Callithrix jacchus: one gene and its partner. Each later gene encodes a partner of the first gene's protein in a complex. Links are inferred from orthologs where the notes say so. Each region holds a gene or a part of one and is shown on either strand. Other genes may lie near its edges.

What was found.
Region 2: POLR2F (region 1) and POLR1H share a complex: the UniProt entries of both Homo sapiens proteins name them as parts of the pol I pre-initiation complex. The link is inferred for Callithrix jacchus from reciprocal best matches to the Homo sapiens genes POLR2F and POLR1H.

Annotation. Positions count from the first base shown.
Region 1 is NC_133502.1:208,959,025-208,963,019, reverse strand, and holds part of POLR2F (DNA-directed RNA polymerases I, II, and III subunit RPABC2), read right to left. Parts: intron 3,592-3,995; coding exon 3,522-3,591; intron 3,080-3,521; coding exon 2,949-3,079; intron 1-2,948. UniProt on the Homo sapiens protein: DNA-dependent RNA polymerase catalyzes the transcription of DNA into RNA using the four ribonucleoside triphosphates as substrates.
Region 2 is NC_133505.1:34,798,359-34,802,911, reverse strand, and holds the start of POLR1H (DNA-directed RNA polymerase I subunit RPA12), read right to left. Parts: upstream 2,994-4,553; 5' UTR 2,951-2,993; coding exon 2,880-2,950; exon of another isoform or gene 2,714-2,879; coding exon 2,559-2,713; exon of another isoform or gene 2,481-2,558; intron 2,322-2,480; coding exon 2,221-2,321; intron 2,015-2,220; coding exon 1,905-2,014; intron 1-1,904. UniProt on the Homo sapiens protein: Core component of RNA polymerase I (Pol I), a DNA-dependent RNA polymerase which synthesizes ribosomal RNA precursors using the four ribonucleoside triphosphates as substrates. Can mediate Pol I proofreading of the nascent RNA transcript.

The DNA.
Region 1 (3,995 bases):
CTCTCTTACCCAGGCTAGAGTAGTGGCGAGACCTCAGCTCACTACAACTTCCGCCTCCCAGGTTCAAGCAATTCTCCTGCCTCAGCCTCTTGAGTTGAGTAGCTGGGATTATAGGCGCCTGCCACTATGCCTGGCTAATTTTTGTACTTTTAGTAGAGACGGGGTTTTGCCATGGGCCAAGACAGTCTCAAACTCCTGACCTCAGGTGATCCACTCGCCTCAGCCTCCCAAAGTCCAATCAACATGGTGAAACCCCATCTCTACTAAAAATACAAAATTAGCCAGGTGTGGTGGCAGGCACCTGTAATCCCAGCTACTCAGGAGGCTCAGTTGGGAGAATCATTTGAATCCGAGAGGTGGAGGATACAGTGAGCCAAGATCACGCCACTGCACTCCAGCCTGGGCAACAGGGTAAGACTCCATCTCAAAAATAAATAAATAAATAAAATGAATAAATAATAAAAGAAAAAGAAGTGTGGGTGGCTAGTGAGACAGAAATTGAATGTCTTATTTTATTTAATTGTACTTAATGCAAATGGCCACATACAATTTGTGGCTAATATAATTGATGGTGCAGGCCCAGAGGATCTTGACCTTGGTGGCACCAAAAGATATCCTACTGGGTGTGGCTCTAATGCCACTCAGAAGAGCAGAGAAGGGGAATGAATGAGAACAATGTTGCCCACCTTTATTGAGGTAGACATGATGGTCATCTTTACCCCCACAGGACTAGAGGAGACAACAGCCCAGTGCTGCTTGCACACTGAGGAGGGAGGTACAGAGAGCACTGCTGCCCTGCAAGCACAGAGTCCACATATCTGGCCCCAGCTTTCCTTTTTTTTTTTTGAAATGGAGTCTCACTCTGTCGCTCAGGCTGGAGGGCAGTGGTGCAATCACAGCTCACTGCAGCCTCAACCTCCTGGGCTTAGGTGATCCTCCCACCTCAGCCTCCCAAGTAGCCAGGACTACAGGAGCACACCACCACACTCAGCTAATTTTTGTATTTTGGCAGAGATGGGGTTTCACCATGTTGCTCAGGCTGGTCTTGAATTTCTGGACTCAAGCAATCCTCCTGCCTCGGTCTCCCCAAGTGCTGGGATTACAGGTGTGAGCCACCACACCCAGCTGCTTTTCTTTCTAGACTAATTTCCACTCTTCCCTACTTGAACTACGCCTCCTCCTCCAGATACCCACCATTTCCCACAACAGCCTATAAGGAGTCTGGGGGAGGGGCTCCTGTCCTCAGTCTCATGCTTCCCCACAGAGTACCATTAGAGTACCCCTCTCTGTCCTCTCACCTACTCTTCACAAGAAAGCAGGAGTAACTATTCCGACAGGTGAGCCTGGGTTGGGGGGAAAAGCAGGCATCTGTGGCCCCACCTCTTTGAAAGTCCCTGCATTCTCAAAGCCATCTGCTGGGAGAGGGTGCTTCCAGTGTATTCTCTACTCTGCCCCAAACCTCAGTAGTCATCTGAAGGCCTGCACTGCCTATGGCTAACTCATCTGCACTCACTGGACACTTGGATCTCCACCTGTCTACTCTATCTCCTGAATCTTTATTCTCCCAGCCATGAGAGAGAAAGTTTACTGATTTTCAAATCCCCAAAACCCCACCACTACTCTGTGCTTTCATCTCTCCAGTGTGCTCTCAAGCTGGAGGGCCCCCAGTCTGCTGGGCTGGCCACAGTCTACCTCACATCAAGAACCACCTTAGCTGGGGGCGGTGGCTCATGCCTATAATCCCAGCACTTCGGGAGGCCAAGGCGGGTGGATCATGAGGTCAAGAGAAGAGACCATCCTGGTCAACAAGGTGAAATCCCATCTCTACTAAAAATACAAAAATTAGCTGGGCATGGTGGTACGCGCCTGTAATCCCAGCTACTCGGGAGGCTGAGGCAGGAGAATTGCTTGAACCCAGAAGGCGGAGGTTGTGGTAAGCCGAGATCGTGCCATTGCACTCCAGTCTGGGTAACAACAGCGAAACTCCATCTCAAAAAAAAAACCACCTTAAAGCCAGGAGTGGTTGCTCATGCTTGTAATCTCAGTTCCAGCACTTTGGGAGGCTGAGGCAGGAGAATCACTTGAGGCTGAGTTCAAGACCAGCCTGGGCAACACAGTAAGACCCCCATCTCTACAAAAAAATACAAAGCCAGGCATAGTGACACACATCTGCAGTCCCAGCTTGAAGCCACTTGGGAGGCTGAGTCAAGAAAGTCGCTTGAGCCCAGGAGTTTGAGGCTGCAATGGGCTATGATCAGGCCACTGTGCTCCAGTATGAGCAACAGAGTGAGGCCTCGACTAGGAAAATAAAGCAAAAAGAACCACCATGGCCAGGCCCCGTGGCTCTCACCCGTAATCCCGGAGCTTTGGGAGGCAGAGGCAGGCAGATCACTTGAAGCTGGGAGTTCAAGACGAGCCAAGGCAACATGCCGAGACCCCATCTCTACTAAAAATGCAACAATTAGGCTTGGTGGCATATGCCTGCAATCTCAGCTACCTGGGAGGCTGAGGCATGAGAATCACTTGAACCTGGGAGGCAGAGGTTGCAGTAAGCTGAGATTGTGCCGCTGCACTCCAGCCTGGGCGACTCAGCAACATTCTATCTCAAAAAACAAACAAAAAAAAAACACGGGTACACATTGACTCTGACTTCACGCTTTTTCTGCTTCACTAATCTGCTGGGCAACCATCCAGTTCTGATTTTTGTATCATTTTTCTCCCATACTGTTACCTGACTTCTCAGATGTTCAAGTCCTAGTTCTCCTATTAGATCACAAGCTCCCTGAGGGCAGGGGCCTAGCACAATGCCTGGTACACAGGGACAGCACCACCTTTGGAATGTGAGAGTGGAGAGTCTACGTTCAGGTGCTGGGCTGGGCAAGATCAGTGGCTCAGGAGCTCACTATGGTCTGAGAGATGCAGAGGACAGTGAAGGGGCCATCACTCACGCAATCTGGAGAGCTCGGGTGCCCAGCACGCGGGCTCGCTCGTACTTGGTCATGTATGGTGTAGTGATTCGCTTCTGGTTGGCCTGTGGTCGCTCCCCAGAGGGAAGGATCTCAACATTCTCTTGGCCTTCCTGGACAAGATAAAAAAGAGAGAAAATCTCAGGTGGCATTTTTGGGTTACAGGGAGGGTGATAATGACAACAATCATAATCACCGCTCCTGCCACCATTAATGCTCACTGCATGCCAGGGGACCAGGTGACTGCTTCCTAATACCTCATGTCCCTTACAATAACCTTATGAGGCAGGAAGGTGCTGTTTAACTTGTCAGTGAACTAACTGCCCCAGAAGCCACTGGCTGCGGACCACATGGACAAAAGCTTTCAGGCCTAGCCCACAGGGCTGTTCTGCTGTGCAAGACTGGAACACAGCTCACTCTAACTGGGAATGCTTACGCCAGCGGGTAGGGGGCCCTGAACACAAACAGAAGGCAGATACATTCAGGTTACTGTCACCTGCCAGACTGTTTGGCAGCTTGGGCTGCAGAGGTGGGAGCCTGAGGCTGAATACTGACCTCTTCGGCATTCTCCAAGTCATCTAGCCCTTCATCCTCTTCCACGTCATCAAAGTCGTCACCATCAAAACTGTACAGGAAGAATAAATCAGTTAGTTAGAGCATCACTTACCAGAAACAAAGAGGGGCCGACCATGGTGGCTCACACCTGTAATCTTGGTACTTTGGGGGATGGAAATGGGTGGATCACTTGAGGCCAGGAGTTTGAGACCAGCCTAGCCAACATGGTGAAACCCCATCTCTACTAAGAATAGAAAAATTAGCTGGGCATGGTGGCCCATGCCTGTAATACCAGCTACTCAGGAGGCTGAGGCACGAGAATTGTTTGAACCCAGAAGGCGGAGGTTGCAGTGACCCAAGATCGTACCACTGCACTCCAGCCTGGGTAAAAGAACAAGAACCTGTCTCAAAAAAAAAAAAAAAAATCAATAAGTGCAAAGATATATGTCTCGCCCACTATATAGGAAGCACTCA
Region 2 (4,553 bases), on another chromosome or scaffold:
TTCCAAGACAACTAAAAATGCTGGGATTAAAAATATATCCAATGAATTATAACCTCAAAGCAAAGGTTTCTTAGGACACAAAAAGCACTAGCTGTAAAAGAATAAAAAGGGATAAGCTGGACCTCATAAAAACTTAAAACTTCTGCTCATTTAAAGAGGGTTAAGAAAATAAATAGGCAAGCCACAGTCAGGGAAAAAAAATCTTTTTTTTTTTTTTTTTTTGGTAAAATGACAACCAGCGATAGGAAAAAATACTCTTAAAAGATATATCTGACTGTGAATATTTTTAATCCATTGATGAGATGGTGAGAAAGTAAAGGCAAACTTCACACTGGTAAAAGTTATGCAAAACCAGAAATCCAGACAGTGAAAACTGAAGTCCCAATGAAACGTGACACTATGGTGCCCTTAATACTGTTATGACGGTCACTGAAAGCATAGGAAATGAGGGACAAAATGTAAAAGGTCTGATAGGAGATTCCCTGCATAAATTTGGGAACTGCAAAGAGCTGCCCTTTTTTGTAAAAGTGAACAAGAAAAGAAAAAATTCAACTCTATAGAAGGGGAATTTGTCTTAGTAGGCAGGAGAGAAAACTCTCTCCTGAGAATTTCTAACCATAAGCTAACCCTTACGTGGATTTGCAGCTCAAATTCATACTATCTGTCTGCTCCAAAAAACATGAAGCCAAGAATTTATTTAAAGTAATTCCAGCTTGATAGTGCTTCAAGGAAAAGAAATGCAAATGCTGAGAATACAGCACTCACTCAAGGTCTCAAAGAATTCCTACAGTTCAAGTTCTAAAAAACTCAAATTTATAGACAAAATCACAAAACAGAAAAAAGGCACCATGAGAGAGCAGAAACAAAAGACAGCAGCATCAGAAGACAAAATCCATGGATATCAGAATTATGAGACATAGACTATAATAACCATAATTAATATTTTAAATATATAAAGAATGAACAATTTAAAATATGATTAAGGAACTGAAAATTATTTAAAAATTGAGGAGATTTGAAAAGTAAATAGAATTCAAAGTAATAGCAATAATAAAAAATAATATTTAAAATAAACTGAAGACAGAATTAGTGACATGGAAGAGGGACCTGAAGAAATTACCCAGAAGGTGGCATAAAGAGAAAAGCGATTGAAATATGAAAAGAGGGTGAGAGAAATGGAGGACAAAAGAGACACCTCTCTTCTTGTAACTAATTAGAGGTCCAGAATGTGAGGACTGGGAACATGGGGGAAAGGCAATATTAAATGAGATGATAGCTGATAATTTTCCAAGGCTGATTAAAAAAAAAAAAAATTCACTCTCAGTTTCAGAAAGTGCAACAAATCCCAAACGGAATTTTTAAAAAATCACATTTTTATATACTGTAGTGACTGAAGGACACCAAAGACAAAGATGATGTCTTAAAATAATTCAGAAAGCCCATGTTCCCTAAATCGTGCGTGACTAATTTTCTCCAATGTAAAGCTACCTTGACTGCAGTTGAAGACTGCAGTATAAGATGCCGACCACTAAACAATACCTGCTTCTTATGTTTTTTGTTTGTTTGTTTTTTCATTTCCTTTTATATATCCTAAAAGTAGGTCAGACAGGGTAGCTCATGCCTGTAATCCCAGCCCTTTGGGAGGCTGAGGTGGGTGGATCGCTTGAGCTCAGGAGTTCAAGACCAGCCTGGGAAACACAGAGAAATCCCATCTCTACTAAAAAAAAAAGAAAAAAGTGTAATAAAAAAAATAAAAAAAAAAAACCAACCACAAATGTTCTTATTACCAGAACTGCACAGAAATGGGACGAAAGGAAATGGTGGTTTAGAACAACAACAACAGAATCACTGGATTTGTTTAGTTAGCAAACAGACTGAGCAGAGGGAGGGGAAGGGATGCCCACTTGCAGTTGGTACAGGTGTAGAAGACAGTTTGCCCTTCGTCTGCTGAACGCATCTGTCTGGTGTGGTAAGCCATTCCTTCATGACCACATCGAGAGCAGCGCCTGTCAACCTGGGAAGAAACCGGTGGGTTAGGGAGGCCAGTTCATATCCCCTCACTTCCCACAGGAATCAGGCGATCACTCCTCTCAAACATGGATGCTTTACATCTCTTTTCCCTCTTGGACTTGGGCACACAACTCTCCAGATCTCTGCAATCATTCCTCCGTTTCTTTCCTACCCACCTTATGGAGCCAGTCATTGAGCTCATTAACTTACCACAGGTCCCTGGAACTCAGGCCCTTCCTCCACCGACACAGGCATGGCTGTCCCCAGCTGGTGGAACACAACTGAAGTCTTCACAACCTTCCCCTCAAAGTCTGCACAGGCAAGTAAGAACTGGTTATGGAGACAACCAGAGGGAGCTGACACCGGAAACCTCCCCTTTCCCCTGACTGGTTAGGCCAGGAAGCCCTATATCCTTTCCTTCATTTTTCATCTCGAGACCAAATGTACAATTGCCTGATCTCCTGCTCTAGGGTCCCCTGCCGATCTTGAGGTCCCCAAGTTTCCGACCCTGGACCCTCCGCCAGGACCACTGCGTACAAGCCTCTCACCCCGAACGTTGATGTTGAAGCCACAGCGAGTACAGGTAACCGTATCCTGAGCCCCTGGCAGAGGCAGGACCGAGCCGCACTCTGAACAGAAATCCAAGTCCGACTGAAAGCTGGAGCAAGTGCTGGCTAGGTCCATGACGCATATGCGGTCAGGCCTGAAGAGGGAGTTAGAAGTTATATTAACAAAAAGAGAGGAATCCCCCCAACACAGAGGTCATAACAGTTCTGTCCCAGTACCTGGGAGTATATAACCCGAGCTCTCCTCCCACGCACGCCTCCTGCCTCTGTGACCAGGGAGCTGAAACGCCCGGAATGGCTTACCAGCTAGCGTCGGGTAGTAAAGGACTTGCAACCCTTTCCTGGGGCCGGCGAGAGGAGCGAGCCAACTCCATGGGCTAGAGCGGCAGCTCTACGCCCGCCGCTCAGCGGCGAGCTAGAGCCGGCTAGAGCGTCACGCATTCGGGCTGACAATTGGTTGTGACGTCATAAATAATTGCGAACCTTGTCTCGGGAGCCTTAGAGATGGAGCCTAACCTCTCCGAAGGGAGTTTGCGGCTTCACTTTCACCCTAGTGCTGAGACGTTGAGCACAAAATTCGTAGCCAATGCTGCGCTTCCAGCAAATTTTCCCACCAGTACCCAATCCTCGGATATTTATTCTTTGTCTCACATCCTACAGGAACCGAGTCCCGGGAGATATCCCCCTGAAAACTGTATTTTGCTGAATACTGATTTCTTTGGATTAGAGAACTACAACTATCCCTGATCCTGAGCAGGTTTTTCCCTTTTGCGGCTGCAGAGTAGTTAAAAAGAAAGCTAAGTGTTCTGGGACGTACAGTTTTAGTGTTCCTTGGGTCCCGCTGGAGAACGTGGGCTTTCAGCAGAGCGCAACTAGCCTTGTGTGCTTTGGGAACAGTTCGCCGCTTGTAAGGGGTAAGTCGGATTCTTGAGGGACCGCAAGTGGTGAGGGTGAAGTCAGGAGGTACAGGGTCCAGCCCTACAGGGTTCTGTGAGCCCCTCTCTGTTGGTGTGGAGAAAAGAAACCAGAAATAAAAGACATAAGACACAGAGATAGAAAGTTTGGGTGGGGTGGCGTGGGGTGGGGGGGGTTCACTGCCAGCCAGATCGCGGAGTCCGGCAGTGGCCCCGGTCGTGTCTGCGCATTCTGACTTTTTTTGAGTACAAAGCTGAGGGCAGGGTAAGTAGGTGTGGCATTGGTGGTTGGTGGTCAGCAACCAGGGGAAAGGTAGATGGGGCGTAGCAGTGATAGGGTCAAGTACATCACATATCATACAGGTACGGACCCAGGAATTTCTAGGAGCCGGGATGAGGCAAGGAGCCTAATGCGTTAGCACTTTTCCATACTTGTTAAGAAAGAACAAAGACATTAAGTTTATATTACTCTTACTGATTATCTCTTCTAAGAAAATAGGAACCTGGTACAGAAGTAGGACATGAGAGTGGACATGGAATGTGACCACTGAAGCACAGCATCACATAGAGACAAATAAGCCCCCGGATGCCTGTGGGTCTACCTGACAGCTGTCAGGCCTAAGGCAAGAGATTGGAGGAGTGGAGTTTTCGCTTAACTCCCCCGGTGAATGAGACGTCTCAGCCAGCTTTGGACGCCTCCTTCCCTAGCTGGCTCAACAGCGGGCATTTTCTCAGTGCTGACGCGGTAGCACAGCAGAGGCGGCCCTAGTCGCCCTTATGCAGGCATAGCTGCTGTAAAGCGTCTTGCTTTAGGGTCATTGCCCTCACAATGTCACCCCAGGTTCTCACTTTCCGGCCTGAGACCTGAGAGGCATTAGTAAAAGAATTAAGATCACCTATAAATAACTAAGATCACTTGTGAATAATTAAGCCATCACTATTTTCTCTTGTGAAGGACAGAAGCTGTAGTCTTTCGTTGGAAGAGGCTCCCATCTGCCTTTCTCTGTAATGGAGAGAACACCATAGCGAAAGGGTTAAAACTCAAACTGCTGAAGAATGACAA